3 linked regions of the Saccharomyces cerevisiae S288C genome follow. Changing the gene in region 2 together with the main gene of any one other region gives a genetic interaction. Each region holds a gene or a part of one and is shown on either strand. Other genes may lie near its edges.

Region 1 (6,475 bases), on a different chromosome or scaffold from region 2:
GAGAGACATGATGATGGTTCTCTGGAACAGCTGATGTCCCAGGTGTTGTCTCTTCTTGAGAATTAACCTTAGTGGAATCTCTATCAAATTCCGGTAAATTGGAAGCTGAAACGGCTAACGGATCTTGATTTGATGGGACTTCCTTAGAAGTAACCGAAGCATAGGCGCTACCATGTAGAGAATGTGGATTTTGATGTAATTGTTGGGATTCCATTGTGATTAAGGCTATAATATTAGGTATGTAGATATACTAGAAGTTCTCCTCAAGGATTTAGGAATCCATAAAAGGGAATCTGCAATTCTACACAATTCTATAAATATTATTATCATCGTTTTATATGTTAATATTCATTGATCCTATTACATTATCAATCCTTGCGTTTCAGCTTCCACTAATTTAGATGACTATTTCTCATCATTTGCGTCATCTTCTAACACCGTATATGATAATATACTAGTAACGTAAATACTAGTTAGTAGATGATAGTTGATTTTTATTCCAACAGGTTCACACGAAGATTGAAAGTGTGGCCACGCTAATTTAGTTTATTAGGGAAATGCTCCTGGTCAGTTCTAATTCACCCAACGTAGCGCGGAATATTTTAAAGTTAATATAGTATTTCGATATGACAAGCACCTCTAAACAAAAGGTTATTTTCGCTTTTGTTCATTGAGCGTGTACTTCAAGCCTGATCCTGCTTTTTCTTCTGATTTGATCTGATTCGATTAAGCAAGCGGTACTACCCTAAAACCGCCATCTGTTGTAATATAGTAACGTCGCAATAAACCTGTCATATAATTAGCAGCTAATCCTTATATTCCATCTCCTCAATTTGTGATATTTATCGTATATAATTCCCATTTCAGACCGTCATTTAGTAGTAGGCATCTAACTATGGAACGGCTTTACCCGATCTTGGTATGTATGCCATAATGTACTACCGCTATCGATTTACCTTAACCCTAACGAGTGTCTCTAGCCAGTATTTTAAACTTCCATATCACAACTAATGTTGAAGATTGTATAATAAAAACATCAAGCTATTTAATAGATGCGATTAATCTCCTAATCGAAAACAGTTTGTTCGGTGTCCAAATACTGTTTTAGTGGACTATGATAAACGTTATAACAGCTATTTTGACTAAAACAACCGTAAATTTACACAGATAGGTGTTCACAGTAATTTTTTGGGGAGTTAGGTCGAAATCTTTTCCAAAACCAGTCATGCAAAGGAAATGCGTCAACTTTTGGGGACTTTTCCCCTACTCAAACACAGTTAGTCAACATTTAAAGGTTGTGTCTTTACTTAAGAGAAAATTAACTGAGCTTCGGTCATACATACGTAATTTCGCTGCTTCCAGTCGAGCAGTTGGTGCGCTATAATCATTTGATGTTTTTAGCTTACGGCTTCTTAAGATTTTCTATTGTTCATACTGACTCGTCGCATAGGCCGCAATATAAATCATTTAGAGAAAACGTTAACACATCGTTTAGGTAAACAACCCCTAGAGAGGATGATCAGTACGCAATATAACTGTTCAAAATCCATTTCTTGCATCAATATTTTATTCAACTATTATTTCTGGAGGTTTTAGTGGTTCTGTATACCCCCTCCAGCCACTGTTATGAACAATTAATTGATACTACTTCGAATATAAACATTAAAACAAAAAACTTATTGAGTGCAGCAAGTTAACATGTATCGATATAATAGAAGTTCCCCTTTTGAACGAACACCAGAAAAACGAGTAAGCCGTCAAGAAAGCCAACGAAAGAGCATCGAATTGCCCAAACTGCCACCATTGAATACGAGGAACTCCTTTTTGGATGATTCTGATAACGGAACAGATAATATCTCAATTGGCTGGACACCAATCAGTGACACCCAGCAATTCCAAAGCCCGGTCCCTCAGGCTTTTACCTTTACATCAAAACATAGTGCAAGGGGAAACGGTACTAGCTCTTCAGAATCCACACCCAAATCGACAAAGTACGTCAAAGAAAGACGACCACCACCACCGCCACCCCTTTTGTATTCCACTGAATCAATACGGATAGACTCACCCATGGTATCTCCCAGTTCTCAGTCCCGGGAAAGATCACCTAATAAACTATCCTTTATAGGAAACTCAGAGGAACGACATCACATGGAATACATATCTAACCATTCCAGGATCTTAAAATCACCATTTGCGAACGGATTTAGTCCAAATTCCCCTAAATCTCCAAGAGATAGTAGCAAACAGCAGGCTCACTTCTCTGATGAATCAGATCTACGGTGTCATGAAAGAGAAAAAGCTTTACCCCCAATTCCTTTCACTACTACTCTTCTGCTATCTCCTTTTGATGATGAAGACTCAGAATTTTTTACGAAACCACCACCGCCTCTATCAACATCTAGAAACGTAAGTGGGAATAGCCGAGTATCAGAAGCCCTAGAAAGTGTTTATTCTGACTCAGATTATACTTTTAATAACTCAAATGCCAGGCAAAGTAGTTTTAACTCTTTACTAGGAGCCAAGCCATTAGAATTAGCACCAAGCATTACTGCACCGACACAACCATTTTCAATTCAATCTATCGATGAGCACAAGCTTTATCAATGTGATAATGTTTACAAACTTTCTGCTATTTATGAGTGGATTTTGAAAGTTTATTTTGAATGGTTTAATGAATGTGTCTTCACGAAAATCGATCTTTTCCAAATTGTTCAATTACTTTTAGAGTTTCAAATGCCTACAAATTTCGATCAAGATACGATAGACTCAAATGTGGATAATATTATGGCTTCGTTTATTTCCCAGAAAGCAGTAAGATTCGATATCATTAACGATGAAGAGGTAGCCGTAGTTGTGGGAGGGCTGGATATTACTGGTGTTTTCACCGAACTACTACCGTGCTATTCATTCATCGATAATACTTATGGATCTACAAACTCCCTGATTTGTTATTCCAACGTTTGCACACATGGCCAAAGCTCTGGCTTCAGAAAAGAAATAAAACTTTCCGAAATCATAAATAAATCAGTTGGACTTTGGACAGAATACTGGCACTTGACTCCAGATGATTTAGCAGAAATTAATCCCCGTGAAGTACAAAGACAAAGCTTTATATTTGACTTAATTATTTTAGAAGAAAGATCCTTAAACATGGCTACTGCCGCGGTAGAAATCTATGGGAAACGGTTTGACAAATCCCTACTTCCAGATGAGCCTGAGTTCAAGGCATTGGCATTTGATATCTTCGAACCTCTAATACAATTACATACCGAATTTCTTTTGACGCCAATATTTTGGAAATTAAAAACGAGAGGTAAGTTTATTGATGGCGTTGGAAAAATCTATTCAAAATGGTGTGGTGAAGCCAAGAATATATATTTGAATTACGCGAAAGCTATGGCAACGGTACACGAAATCATAATGTGGGAGAAGAAAAACAAGACGAAATTTGTAACATGGCTTAAGGAGATTGATAACTCGGTTGAAATTACAAGATCGAAGATGTATCATGATGTTATATTCTTTGGGGGGTTTTTCAAATCTTTACAAAACATGCCCGTAACTCTGCGCTCAATTTTGAAGAACACGGATCCTTCCATGGAGGATTATGAATACCTGAAAATAGTAATTAAGGAAGTAGAAAAGTTGAACTTTGAAGTTAATCAGGTACATGGATTAGCAATTGACCATAGGAAACTAGTAAGGTTTTCGAAACAATTAGTATTAAGTACTAATAGTAGTAATGCAACAAGCTATGTGAACGTCGGTGGTAGTACTAACGCAAATGACGATGATGCAATTCAGGATAAACTAGCTCTTGGTTTAACTTATCCGGAAAGGAAGTTAGTACTATCTGGCACTGTTTATAAAAAGAGGGATTTATGGCTGGACCCAACCCCAGTGTATATCGCATTATTGGACAATTGCTTACTGATTACAGAGGAAATAAGTAAAGGAGAAACTCAAAAATATAAGCTTATTGAAAGACCTATCCCAATAGATTATTTAAGTCTCGAGAAAAGGAAAATTCCAGGAACAAGTAAACAGCCTCTGAGAAACTACTCTCAGAAAGAACATAAATCCCCAATGCATAATTTTTCGACACCGATTAACTCCATGAGACCTCTGCTTAAAAGTTCTGGAAATCACATGTCAACAGCGTATGGAGATAGAAAGACTAGTAATACTGAAATTTCTAACGCGAATCCAAACACAGACGAGTTCTCATTTAAGATCAGAAATACAGCCACAGGTGAATCGTTCAAATTTTTTACAGAAAGTGCAGAAGTACTCAACCAATGGATTGATGCTATCATGGAATCTTTTAAAAGAAATGCAGAAAATCATGATTTAAATGCCTTTGAATTTACAGTGTTGAGCTCTGAGTTCGCATACTTCGACAAGGATGCACCGGTGAATCTACCTGTAGCTCCGGAAGGATCAGAAATTGATGTAGCACTCAAAGCTTACGCTCAAAAAGCAAACAAAGATTCATGTTCATGGAGTAAGACAACACGGATTCTTTGTTGTGAAGATGTTAAATTCGAGGGCAGAATTTACCTATTTGTGGCTACAACAGACGGTATCTATGTGAAATATAGAGACGATTATGGTAGTGGTTTCGTTAAAATATTAGAATTAAACGACGTCAAAAGAATGGAAGCCAATGTTAAGTTGGGGCTCTTGTTTGTATTGGATAACAGAAAGTTGTGCTATTTTAATATCTCAACGGTAGTGAGCCGTTACCTAGCGCAAGGAAACACTCTAGATGAAAACTGCATTGTGGGAACAGTAATCAGAGATAAGGTGAGATTCTTCAAAATTGCTGATGATTTTGGTAACTCAAAACATTTATTTTTTGAAAGAAAGGGGAAGATAGTTATATTAACACCAGAATTTGATCAATTGACAAACCAAGTAAAATATTTCAAATTTTACAAAGAGTATAAGCTCCCAAGTTCAAGTAATAACATTCTGAATAACGAAATTGAGGATATTGCCATATTCAGGAAAAGTTTTGCTGTGTGTACAAAGAAAACAGTCATACTTTATCAAGATTCATTCGAGGATAACGGAATAGTCTTACCATCTTTTTTGAATGATAAAGATATGATGGCACACTTGAGGCATCCACATTTGAATAGCTTACCGTTCAAAAGTGCTACAGACTCCAAGAAACGCCCCTCCATAGAATCTCTCACTGAAGAAGCAAAAAAGGATATCGCCACTTGCAAAGCTATACCGGTCAATTTTTTTCAAATATCACAATCTAGTTTTTTTGCCTTGGTTTATGATGAAGCCGTAGTGAAAATAAACTGCTACGGTGAGATGTCTGATTGGAGAAAGGATATTCTCTTACTTGATTTTTGTTGTACCGGCGCGAGCTTCCATGGTAATCATTTGATTCTCGTTGGCGACAATTTGATACAGATTTACGACTTAAAAAATGTTGAGCAGAACCTAGGCGAATTGGTTCCCGTCCAGATCATAAAAGGAAAGAAGATAAAGCTGGCTAGTTCAGAAAGGAGAGAGAAAACAATTCTTGTGTTAAGTCATCCAAATATACTTAATAGACAATTATTAGTCGCGTGCAATCCTGTAGCAATGGCAGATCATCAATAATATAAGATATAGACACTTTTAATGGTAAATATCGTTGTAATAATATAAGCCAACAAGAATATAGTCCAGTAATTATGCTATTTGCAGTAACTCACATCATTATTCTCTCTGTTCATATAATCCTGAATAACAGGTTACCCTCGGAAGTGCATTTAGCCGTATAACAAGTAGCTCTTTAAAATCAGTAGAACAGATACATTAATATGTGATAATACGGCTGTGAGGAAAAGGTGAAGTTCTGGTGATGAATATAGACTGTTTGTGTCGTTGGGTAGTTCTGCCACTGCTGCGCTATCCACTTCTGGTAGCTCTTGTATTGAGATGGTATGTAAAGTAGAAAATAGGCATGAGGTTAGAAACAGCGTTTTTTATACTAACATGACGAACTAACCTAGGTCTCTAAGCGACTCGATAAGCATTTGTCTAACAATCTATACACTACTGATAAATGCATTCCTCATTGCTAATTCCTATATAAAGCGGTCGGGACAGGTCGCCTGGAAGAGCCTTCGTGAATTTAAGAATGGCATAGTTCTTATTACTGGAGGAAGTAAAGGACTTGGACGGGCCATAGTATCTCAACTCCTACAAGACTACAGCAACCTGACCATCTTGAATGTCGACATATGCCCATCATCAGTGAGGAATACTCGCGTGAAGGATCTCATCTGCGACCTGAGTGATGATGAAGAAGTTGCAGCACTACTGAATTTGTTGAAAAGAAAGTATAAAAATGAAATCCGATTGATTGTGAACAATGCTGGAGTAAGGGCCAACTTCACCGGATTCAACGGCATGGAACGGGATAATCTTGATAAGATTTTTAAGATAAACACATTTGCACCACTTCAGT
Region 2 (4,872 bases):
TTAACTAACGATATGTCTGATGACAACCTTTCGATCAATTACACTATTGATGCAAGGATTGTCGGTAAAGATCAAAAGGCCTCTAAACTGTATATTATGAAGGAAAGAGAATATAATCTAAGAGTAATCCCTTTTGGTTTTGACGCCAATGTCGTCGGAGAAAGAACCACTATGAGTCAGCTGAATGATATCACCAAACTAGTGCAGGAAAGGTTGGATGCTCTTAGAAAAATCTTTCAGAGATTAGAGAAAAAAGAACCCATAACGAACCGCGACATTCACGGTGCAGACTTGAGTGGTACCATTGATGATTCTATTGAATCAGACTCCCAAGAAATTTTGCAGAGGAAATTGGACCAACTGCACATTAAGAACAGAAATAACTATTTAGTCAACTATAACGATTTGAAGTTGGGCCACGATTTGGACAATGGCCGCAGTGGAAATAGTGGTCATAATACCGATACTTCCAGAGCTTGGGGTCCCTTTGTTGAAAGTGAACTAAAATATAAACTGAAAAACAAATCCAATTCCTCCTCATTTCTGAACTTCTCTCATTTTTTAAACAGCAGTTCCAGCTCAATGTCCTCTTCCTCAAATGCGGGAAAGAATAATCATGATTTAACGGGAAATAAAGAAAGGACAGGGCTAATACTAGTAAAGGCGAAAATTCCAAAACAGGGCCTACCATATTGGGCTCCCTCATTATTGAGAAAGACCAATGTTTTTGAATCTAAGAGTAAACACGACCAAGAAAATTGGGTGAGATTGTCTGAGTTGATTCCGGAAGACGTAAAAAAACCATTGGAAAAACTTGATTTACAATTGACTTGCATAGAATCCGATAATAGCTTACCTCATGATCCGCCAGAAATTCAATCGATTACCACAGAACTGATATGTATAACTGCTAAATCTGATAATTCTATCCCAATAAAACTCAATTCTGAACTGTTGATGAACAAAGAGAAGCTGACAAGCATCAAAGCTTTGTACGATGATTTCCATTCAAAAATTTGTGAATATGAAACCAAGTTCAACAAGAATTTTCTTGAATTAAATGAGTTATATAATATGAATAGGGGAGACCGTAGGCCAAAGGAACTGAAATTTACAGATTTTATTACTTCACAGCTGTTTAACGATATCGAAAGCATTTGCAACTTGAAAGTTAGTGTTCACAACTTATCCAACATTTTTAAAAAACAGGTCAGTACCCTAAAACAACACTCAAAGCACGCATTATCTGAGGATTCAATATCGCACACAGGTAACGGTAGTTCATCGTCGCCCAGTTCAGCGTCATTAACGCCAGTAACTTCTTCATCCAAGAGTAGTTTATTTTTACCTAGCGGTAGCTCGTCTACTTCCCTGAAATTTACAGACCAGATTGTTCATAAATGGGTTAGGATTGCTCCTTTACAGTACAAACGAGACATTAATGTGAACTTGGAATTTAATAAGGACATTAAGGAAACTTTAATTCCAAGTTTTGAAAGCTGCCTATGTTGTAGGTTTTATTGCGTTCGAGTAATGATTAAATTTGAAAACCATCTTGGCGTAGCGAAGATTGATATCCCTATTTCTGTTAGGCAAGTGACAAAATAAAAAAACATTAGAAAAAATTCTCGTTACTTTTCTTATAGATATAGATATATGTATGGTTTGCTTATAGATGAAGGTATTTATCGCGTCCTTTGTATTCCCTATTATTAATAAAATTCTTTTAAAATGCATTTTCTGGTGCTCTTTTGTTGCTTCTGTATTTTTTTTTTTTTGGACCACTGGATGGAAAACCTTTGATGATTTTATTACCTTTATTTTAAGTTACTAAAATATCGAGATTTCAGGAACAAAACATAGAATTTTCTTTGTCAAGAAAAATAAAACGAAATAAATTGATGCTTTGACTACTGACTGTCTGTCATAGAGAGAACCAGAACAGCAATGCTACAATTCTCAACATTTCTAGTGCTCCTATACATCTCCATATCCTATGTGCTACCGCTATATGCAACTTCACAACCAGAAGGGTCTAAACGAGATAATCCTCGAACGATTAAATCTCGCATGCAAAAACTTACAATTATGCTAATTTCCAACCTTTTTTTGGTGCCTTTTTTACAATCTCAATTATCTAGTACCACTTCACATATAAGTTTCAAGGACGCATTTTTAGGCTTAGGTATTATCCCAGGTTATTACGCTGCATTGCCAAACCCTTGGCAATTCAGCCAGTTCGTGAAAGACTTAACGAAATGTGTTGCGATGTTATTGACCTTATATTGTGGACCCGTTTTAGATTTTGTATTATATCATTTATTAAATCCAAAGAGCTCTATACTTGAAGATTTTTACCATGAATTCCTGAATATTTGGAGTTTCAGGAATTTTATATTTGCACCAATAACTGAGGAAATATTTTACACGTCAATGCTTTTGACTACGTACTTAAACCTAATACCGCATTCGCAACTAAGCTATCAACAGTTATTTTGGCAACCATCGCTTTTTTTTGGACTTGCGCACGCACACCATGCTTATGAGCAATTACAGGAAGGCTCCATGACAACTGTTTCCATTCTGCTGACAACATGCTTCCAAATTTTATACACAACACTTTTTGGAGGGTTAACCAAGTTTGTATTCGTAAGAACAGGCGGGAACCTATGGTGCTGCATAATCCTGCATGCCCTTTGCAATATCATGGGGTTTCCTGGTCCTTCAAGATTGAATTTACATTTCACAGTAGTAGACAAGAAAGCTGGACGCATTTCCAAATTGGTCTCAATCTGGAATAAGTGCTACTTCGCACTGCTGGTCCTTGGATTAATATCCCTGAAGGATACCTTACAAACTCTGGTAGGAACTCCTGGTTATAGAATAACCCTTTAGCCTTTTTTACGTACTTGTATACCGTTTAAAATTTCCTATGTACTATAACCTTTTTTCACTACTATTATGGAATTCTATCGAGCGACCGGGCTTTTGTTACGGAAGAGTGAAAAAATCGAGTTTTGGTGTTTTGGTGAAAGAATTTGGAGGACTATAAAGTACCTATACTTTGTATTACGGACTCAATAACAAGTCGTTCGTGTCAGTGGTATTGAAGTTGTCAGATCTAAGAGTAGAGAGAAGGTGGCATCTAATAGGTTTCGACGTTTTTCTTTTTTTAAGGTTTTTATTTGGTCTCCTAGAATTTAAGGTCTTAGTTAGTTTTGGTTTGTTTTGTGGGTTACATATTTTCAATTCAAAGGAGAATTTAGCTGTCTTTTATAATGTCCAATAGAGATAACGAGAGCATGCTGCGTACTACATCAAGCGATAAGGCGATCGCTAGTCAAAGGGATAAACGGAAGTCTGAAGTTTTGATTGCTGCACAGTCCCTTGACAATGAAATCCGCAGCGTAAAAAACCTAAAAAGATTGTCGATTGGGTCAATGGATTTACTTATTGATCCAGAATTAGATATAAAATTCGGTGGGGAATCTAGTGGGAGACGATCATGGTCTGGCACGACATCCAGTTCTGCGTCAATGCCAAGTGACACAACCACCGTTAATAACACACGATATAGCGATCCAACTCCGCTAGAGAACTTGCATGGGAGGGGTAACTCAGGGATAGAATCCTCCAATAAGACTAAACAAGGTAACTACTTAGGTATAAAAAAAGGTGTTCACTCTCCATCCAGGAAATTAAATGCTAACGTATTAAAGAAAAACTTATTATGGGTTCCCGCCAATCAACACCCTAACGTTAAGCCTGATAATTTCCTAGAGCTTGTACAAGATACTTTACAAAATATACAACTAAGCGACAATGGTGAAGATAATGATGGGAATAGCAATGAAAATAACGATATTGAGGATAATGGGGAGGATAAAGAATCACAATCATATGAAAATAAGGAGAACAACACTATCAACTTGAACAGGGGGCTGTCAAGGCATGGAAACGCGTCACTAATACGAAGGCCTTCAACATTGCGGAGGTCATATACAGAGTTTGATGATAACGAAGATGACGATAATAAGGGAGACAGTGCCTCTGAAACAGTAAATAAAGTCGAAGAAAGAATCTCCAAAATAAAAGAGAGACCAGTGTCGTTAAGAGATATAACTGAAGAACTGACAAAGATCTCAAATAGTGCAGGACTAACCGACAATGATGCCATTACATTAGCCAGAACTCTTAGTATGGCTGGTTCATATTCAGATAAAAAAGATCAACCACAACCGGAAGGGCATTATGATGAAGGAGATATTGGTTTTTCAACTTCACAAGCGAATACTTTGGATGATGGTGAATTTGCCTCCAATATGCCCATCAATAATACCATGACATGGCCTGAACGATCGTCACTGAGAAGGAGTAGATTCAACACTTATCGAATCAGGTCACAAGAGCAAGAAAAAGAAGTAGAACAAAGTGTGGATGAAATGAAAAACGACGACGAAGAACGTCTAAAATTGACCAAGAATACAATAAAGGTCGAAATAGATCCGCACAAATCCCCTTTTAGACAGCAAGATGAGGATTCTGAGAATATGAGTTCGCCTGGGTCAATTGGTGATTTTCAAGACATTTATAATCATTACAGACAGTCTAGTGGCGAGTGGGAACAAGAAATGGGAATAGAGAAAGAAGCCGAAGAGGTACCCGTCAAGGTTCGAAATGACACAGTAGAACAAGACTTAGAGTTAAGAGAGGGAACAACAGACATGGTAAAGCCAAGCGCAACGGATGACAACAAAGAAACGAAGCGACATCGTCGAAGAAACGGATGGACATGGTTGAACAATAAAATGAGCAGAGAAGACGATAACGAAGAAAACCAAGGGGACGATGAAAATGAAGAAAACGTGGATT
Region 3 (3,911 bases), on a different chromosome or scaffold from region 2:
TCTATCTTTTCGCAGTTATCATCTAACCCGGAAAAGTTTCAACAAGACTTTAGCCTTTTAATGGAAACTCCCACTAGTTCAGCTTAAACAAAATAGAAAAGCTTCAACAGAGGAAAGAATAACGCAAAACCACCCTTTTCACTAAGATGCTTTATGAGCTGATCGGACTTGTTCGCATAACCAACTCCAATGCGCCAAAGTTGGAAGCAAAAGAATTGTCTTCCACAATCGGGAAACTGATTATTCAAAACAGAGGTGTGGTGAGGGACATTGTACCCATGGGCATAAGGTATCTTCCTAAAATAATGAAGAAAGACCAGGAAAAACATTTTCGAGCATATCACTTTTTAATGCTGTTTGATTCATCAGCTGCGGTACAGTCTGAAATTCTAAGAACTTTAAAGAAAGATCCCCGTGTCATAAGATCATCCATCGTTAAAGTTGATTTAGATAAGCAGCTGGATAGAGCCTCATCGTTACACCGTTCTTTGGGGAAGAAGTCTATTTTAGAATTAGTGAATGAAGATTATCAATCCATTTAGGTATAGCGCACAGGTTTTGACTGGGGACGCTACAAACACATGTAAATACATACATATCTTTCATACACATATAATAAACAAAGCAGGAAGAGCATTCTAAAAGCCTCACTTAACATAGACACCATTAAAAGCCACCCATTTATTTCAAAAATTTATAAAATTCTAAAGATAATCAGTGGTATGTGATTAAATAAACTACATGTATATTATGCTAAACGACAATCCTGACTAAGAAAAAGAAAGAAAAAGATATATATTTATATGTATCTACATAAGACCAACCGTATCCGTAATTGCAGATAAAATACTCATTAAGCCCTCTTTACACCTAGTGACGTTATAGACGTGGCGGACGAACGAGAAACAGAAGTAGATCCATCAAATAACGAAGGGCTTACACTGGGTTCATCAGTCATATTAAGATCAAAGTCAAGTTCCAAGTTGGACAAAGGGACACTTTCGATATCGTTTGAATCTGCAGCCAATGGATCACTCTTTGATATATCGTATTTCTCAATTGAAGTGTATGACCATCTGCAAAAAAGAGATGTATCTACAATTGGTAAATGTGTGTACTTTGTGTACTGGAAAATAACGTATGACAGCACAGAACCTGCCATAAGGTCTACAAAATAATGGTGTGTCAGATACATAGTTGACCACCATAACCAGCAAACATAAGCAATAAACAAGGGCTTCAATTTTGGAAAACAATAACAGAAAAACAGGGCTTCCATAGTAGCACACCCGGAATGCAGTGAAGGAAAAGCACCGAAAATGACGGAGGAATTTGAAAAAGCTGTAGTATACATATTAATACCGAGTAGCTTATCAATTCTAGCTAATCCACCAGGCGAGCCATGCATATCATAGTTGGCTGATTGCAATCCATAGAGAATTTTATACCATGGGGGAGCGGCTGGAAAGACATTTTGCATGATAACACCAAACAGGTTCATATAACCAAATGCAAAAGCATAACCTTGCAAAACAGTTGGTGGACCAAATACGAATAAGATGGCAGCAACGACAAATGGGGCCCCAAAATGAAATAGTCCGTACGGTAACCATGCTAAAATGTCCAAAAAGGAATTCGTCGATGTTGCAAGAATATCACTTAAATTGTCGCCGTATAAAATTGTTTCCACCGCTGGTAACACTTTGACAGTAATAGGAGGCCTGCGGTCATCTGGAAAGTACGATGAAGTGAAATACAGCGCCACCCATGTTAGGATGGGCAAGGCATTGAAGAAAAACTGTGACGTAGCTGGAATGATGAATAAAGTGCCCAAGAAACAATAAAAAAGGATCTTGAAGATCCAAGGTGCGGGATTAGTAATGAACACAAACAGCATGATGGATCCCAAGAAGATGTAATGCACCCAGTCGCTTAAAGCGGGTTTGTATTTTTGCACCTTCAACAACGTTTGATGGGGATCTAAACTTGTTTCTAAATCGGCTACATGGCAGTTTGGAGGTCTCTCTGATAGAAACCATCTCGAAAAAGGGTTTGCCATACGCAAAGGAATGATTAAAAGCTTTTTAAAATATGAAAACCGCAACCTGTAGGATATAAAATAAAGTACTTTTGGAGAAAATTCAAAGATCCTTGGGCCAAAAGCTATACCCAAAGTAGCTCAGTGTGAAAAAGGAAAAGGATAAACTTATGAAGTACTTAACAACAACCAAAAGTGAGCGATCGGACTAACCAACTACCTAAGAGATGTAGCAGTAGAAATCCTACTCTGTTGGTTCACGAACAAAAGTCGCTAGTGTTCTTACGCTATGGTAACTGAAGCAAAAAATACGCCTCTGCAGTAGTACCAAATCAGAAAACCACTTTGTAACAAATATGAACACTGATGGGCACTTTATTATTCTTTGACAGAAAGAAATAAAAAAGCGATGACCCGCCAAGCAATGAAGTTGATATTCTTTTGTTGTGGTTTTTTTAGCTCATTTTTGTTTTTTCCTTTTTTCAGTTTTAGGATCACTCTTCACGAATAACTTTTCATATCATTTCTGGGAGCTGGGGAGAGATGGATACTATTTCACAAGACATGCAAAGGGATGCCCAGACTGCAGTTTGGCCAAAAGGCTTGCAATGAAAGAGGATAGGTTGACGAGATCTTAGTATTTTGACTTGTTCTATACACAGGGAGCTATCGATTATCCTAGGTTCTCTTTTACTTTTAGCTTTTATTTAGTTTAAATTTATTATGTCTGTCCGTACTTCTTCAAGATCTAATAAGGGTCAGAATAAATATATTGAGTATTTGTTACAGGAGGAGACTGAAGCACCAAAGAAAAAAAGAACTAAAAAGAAAGTTGATTCAGCCATAGAGAAGAATAAGAAGTCTGATTCTTCTCAGGAGCCAAGGAAAGATACTGAAAATGTAAGAACAGACGAAGTAGACGAAGCGGATGAGGGCTATGTTAGATGTCTGTGTGGGGCGAACAATGAAAACTACGATGCTGCAGAATATTCGCATGGCGACATGGTACAGTGCGATGGCTGTGACACTTGGCAGCATATTAAATGTATGACTGATGGTAAAGACACCATAGATGGGCTAATGAGTGAAGATTCTAAGTACTACTGTGAATTGTGCGACCCATCATTGTATGCACATTTGGAAACGTCAAAGGAGGCAGAGGTTTCAGAGGATGAAGATTACCATGATGATGTTTACAAGCCCGTAAATGACCATGATGACAATGATGCAGATGTCTTTCTTGATGAGGAAAGCCCTAGGAAACGAAAAAGGAGCCCCGATAGTGCCAAAGGAATTCATATCAAATCCAAACAGGTGAAGAAATCCAATGGGTCAAAAAAAAGGAATAAAAGCATTGATGCCGCCAAGTCTGATACTGCCGAAAACGAAATGCCTACTAGGAAAGATTTTGAAAGCGAAAAAGAACACAAACTGAGGTATAATGCAGAAAAAATGTTCTCTACCTTATTTAGCAAATTCATCGTTCCCGAAACAATTGAGGCAAAACTTTATGAGCTTCCTGATGGGAAAGACGTTATATCGATATCGCAAGAGTTTGCGCACAATCTGGAAGAAGAACTTTACAAAGCTTGCCTTAACGTCGAGTTTGGTACTTTGGACAAGATATACACAGAGAAAGTGAGGTCGTTATACTCTAATTTAAAGGATAAAAAAAATTTGGAACTGAAGGCACACGTTGTCGAGGGCAAATTGCCTTTAAATAAACTGGTGAACATGAACGCATCTGAACTCGCAAATCCTGACTTACAAGAATTTAAAGAGAAAAGGGATAAGATTATCTTAGAAAATTTTATCGTGGAGGTACCTGACAAACCCATGTACGTTAAGACCCACAAGGGTGATGAGCTGATCG

What was found. A genetic interaction does not mean that the proteins touch.
Region 1: mutations in RCE1 (region 2) and TUS1 are lethal when combined (synthetic lethality), as found in Saccharomyces cerevisiae (2 studies listed by BioGRID, with this or other methods).
Region 3: mutations in RCE1 (region 2) and AUR1 together harm fitness more than expected from each alone (negative genetic interaction), as found in Saccharomyces cerevisiae (2 studies listed by BioGRID).

Annotation. Positions count from the first base shown.
Region 1 is NC_001144.5:981,196-987,670, forward strand, and holds TUS1 (Rho family guanine nucleotide exchange factor TUS1), read left to right. Parts: upstream 1-1,698; coding exon 1,699-5,622; downstream 5,623-6,475. Other genes in the region: TDA5 (Tda5p), read left to right, coding at 5,867-5,946, 6,018-6,475. UniProt on the Saccharomyces cerevisiae protein: Guanine nucleotide-exchange factor (GEF) for RHO1 that stimulates the exchange of RHO1 GDP-bound form into GTP-bound form. Required for signaling of cell wall defects to RHO1.
Region 2 is NC_001145.3:812,387-817,258, reverse strand, and holds RCE1 (CAAX prenyl protease), read left to right. Parts: upstream 1-1,947; coding exon 1,948-2,895; downstream 2,896-4,872. Other genes in the region: ubiquitin-ubiquitin ligase BUL1, read left to right, coding at 1-1,608; ZDS1 (Zds1p), read left to right, coding at 3,279-4,872. UniProt on the Saccharomyces cerevisiae protein: Protease involved in the processing of a variety of prenylated proteins containing the C-terminal CAAX motif, where C is a cysteine modified with an isoprenoid lipid, A is an aliphatic amino acid and X is any C-terminal amino acid.
Region 3 is NC_001143.9:433,728-437,638, reverse strand, and holds AUR1 (inositol phosphorylceramide synthase), read right to left. Parts: upstream 2,060-3,911; coding exon 854-2,059; downstream 1-853. Other genes in the region: mitochondrial 37S ribosomal protein bS6m MRP17, read left to right, coding at 147-542; BYE1 (Bye1p), read left to right, coding at 2,762-3,911. UniProt on the Saccharomyces cerevisiae protein: Catalytic component of the inositol phosphorylceramide synthase which catalyzes the addition of a phosphorylinositol group onto ceramide to form inositol phosphorylceramide, an essential step in sphingolipid biosynthesis.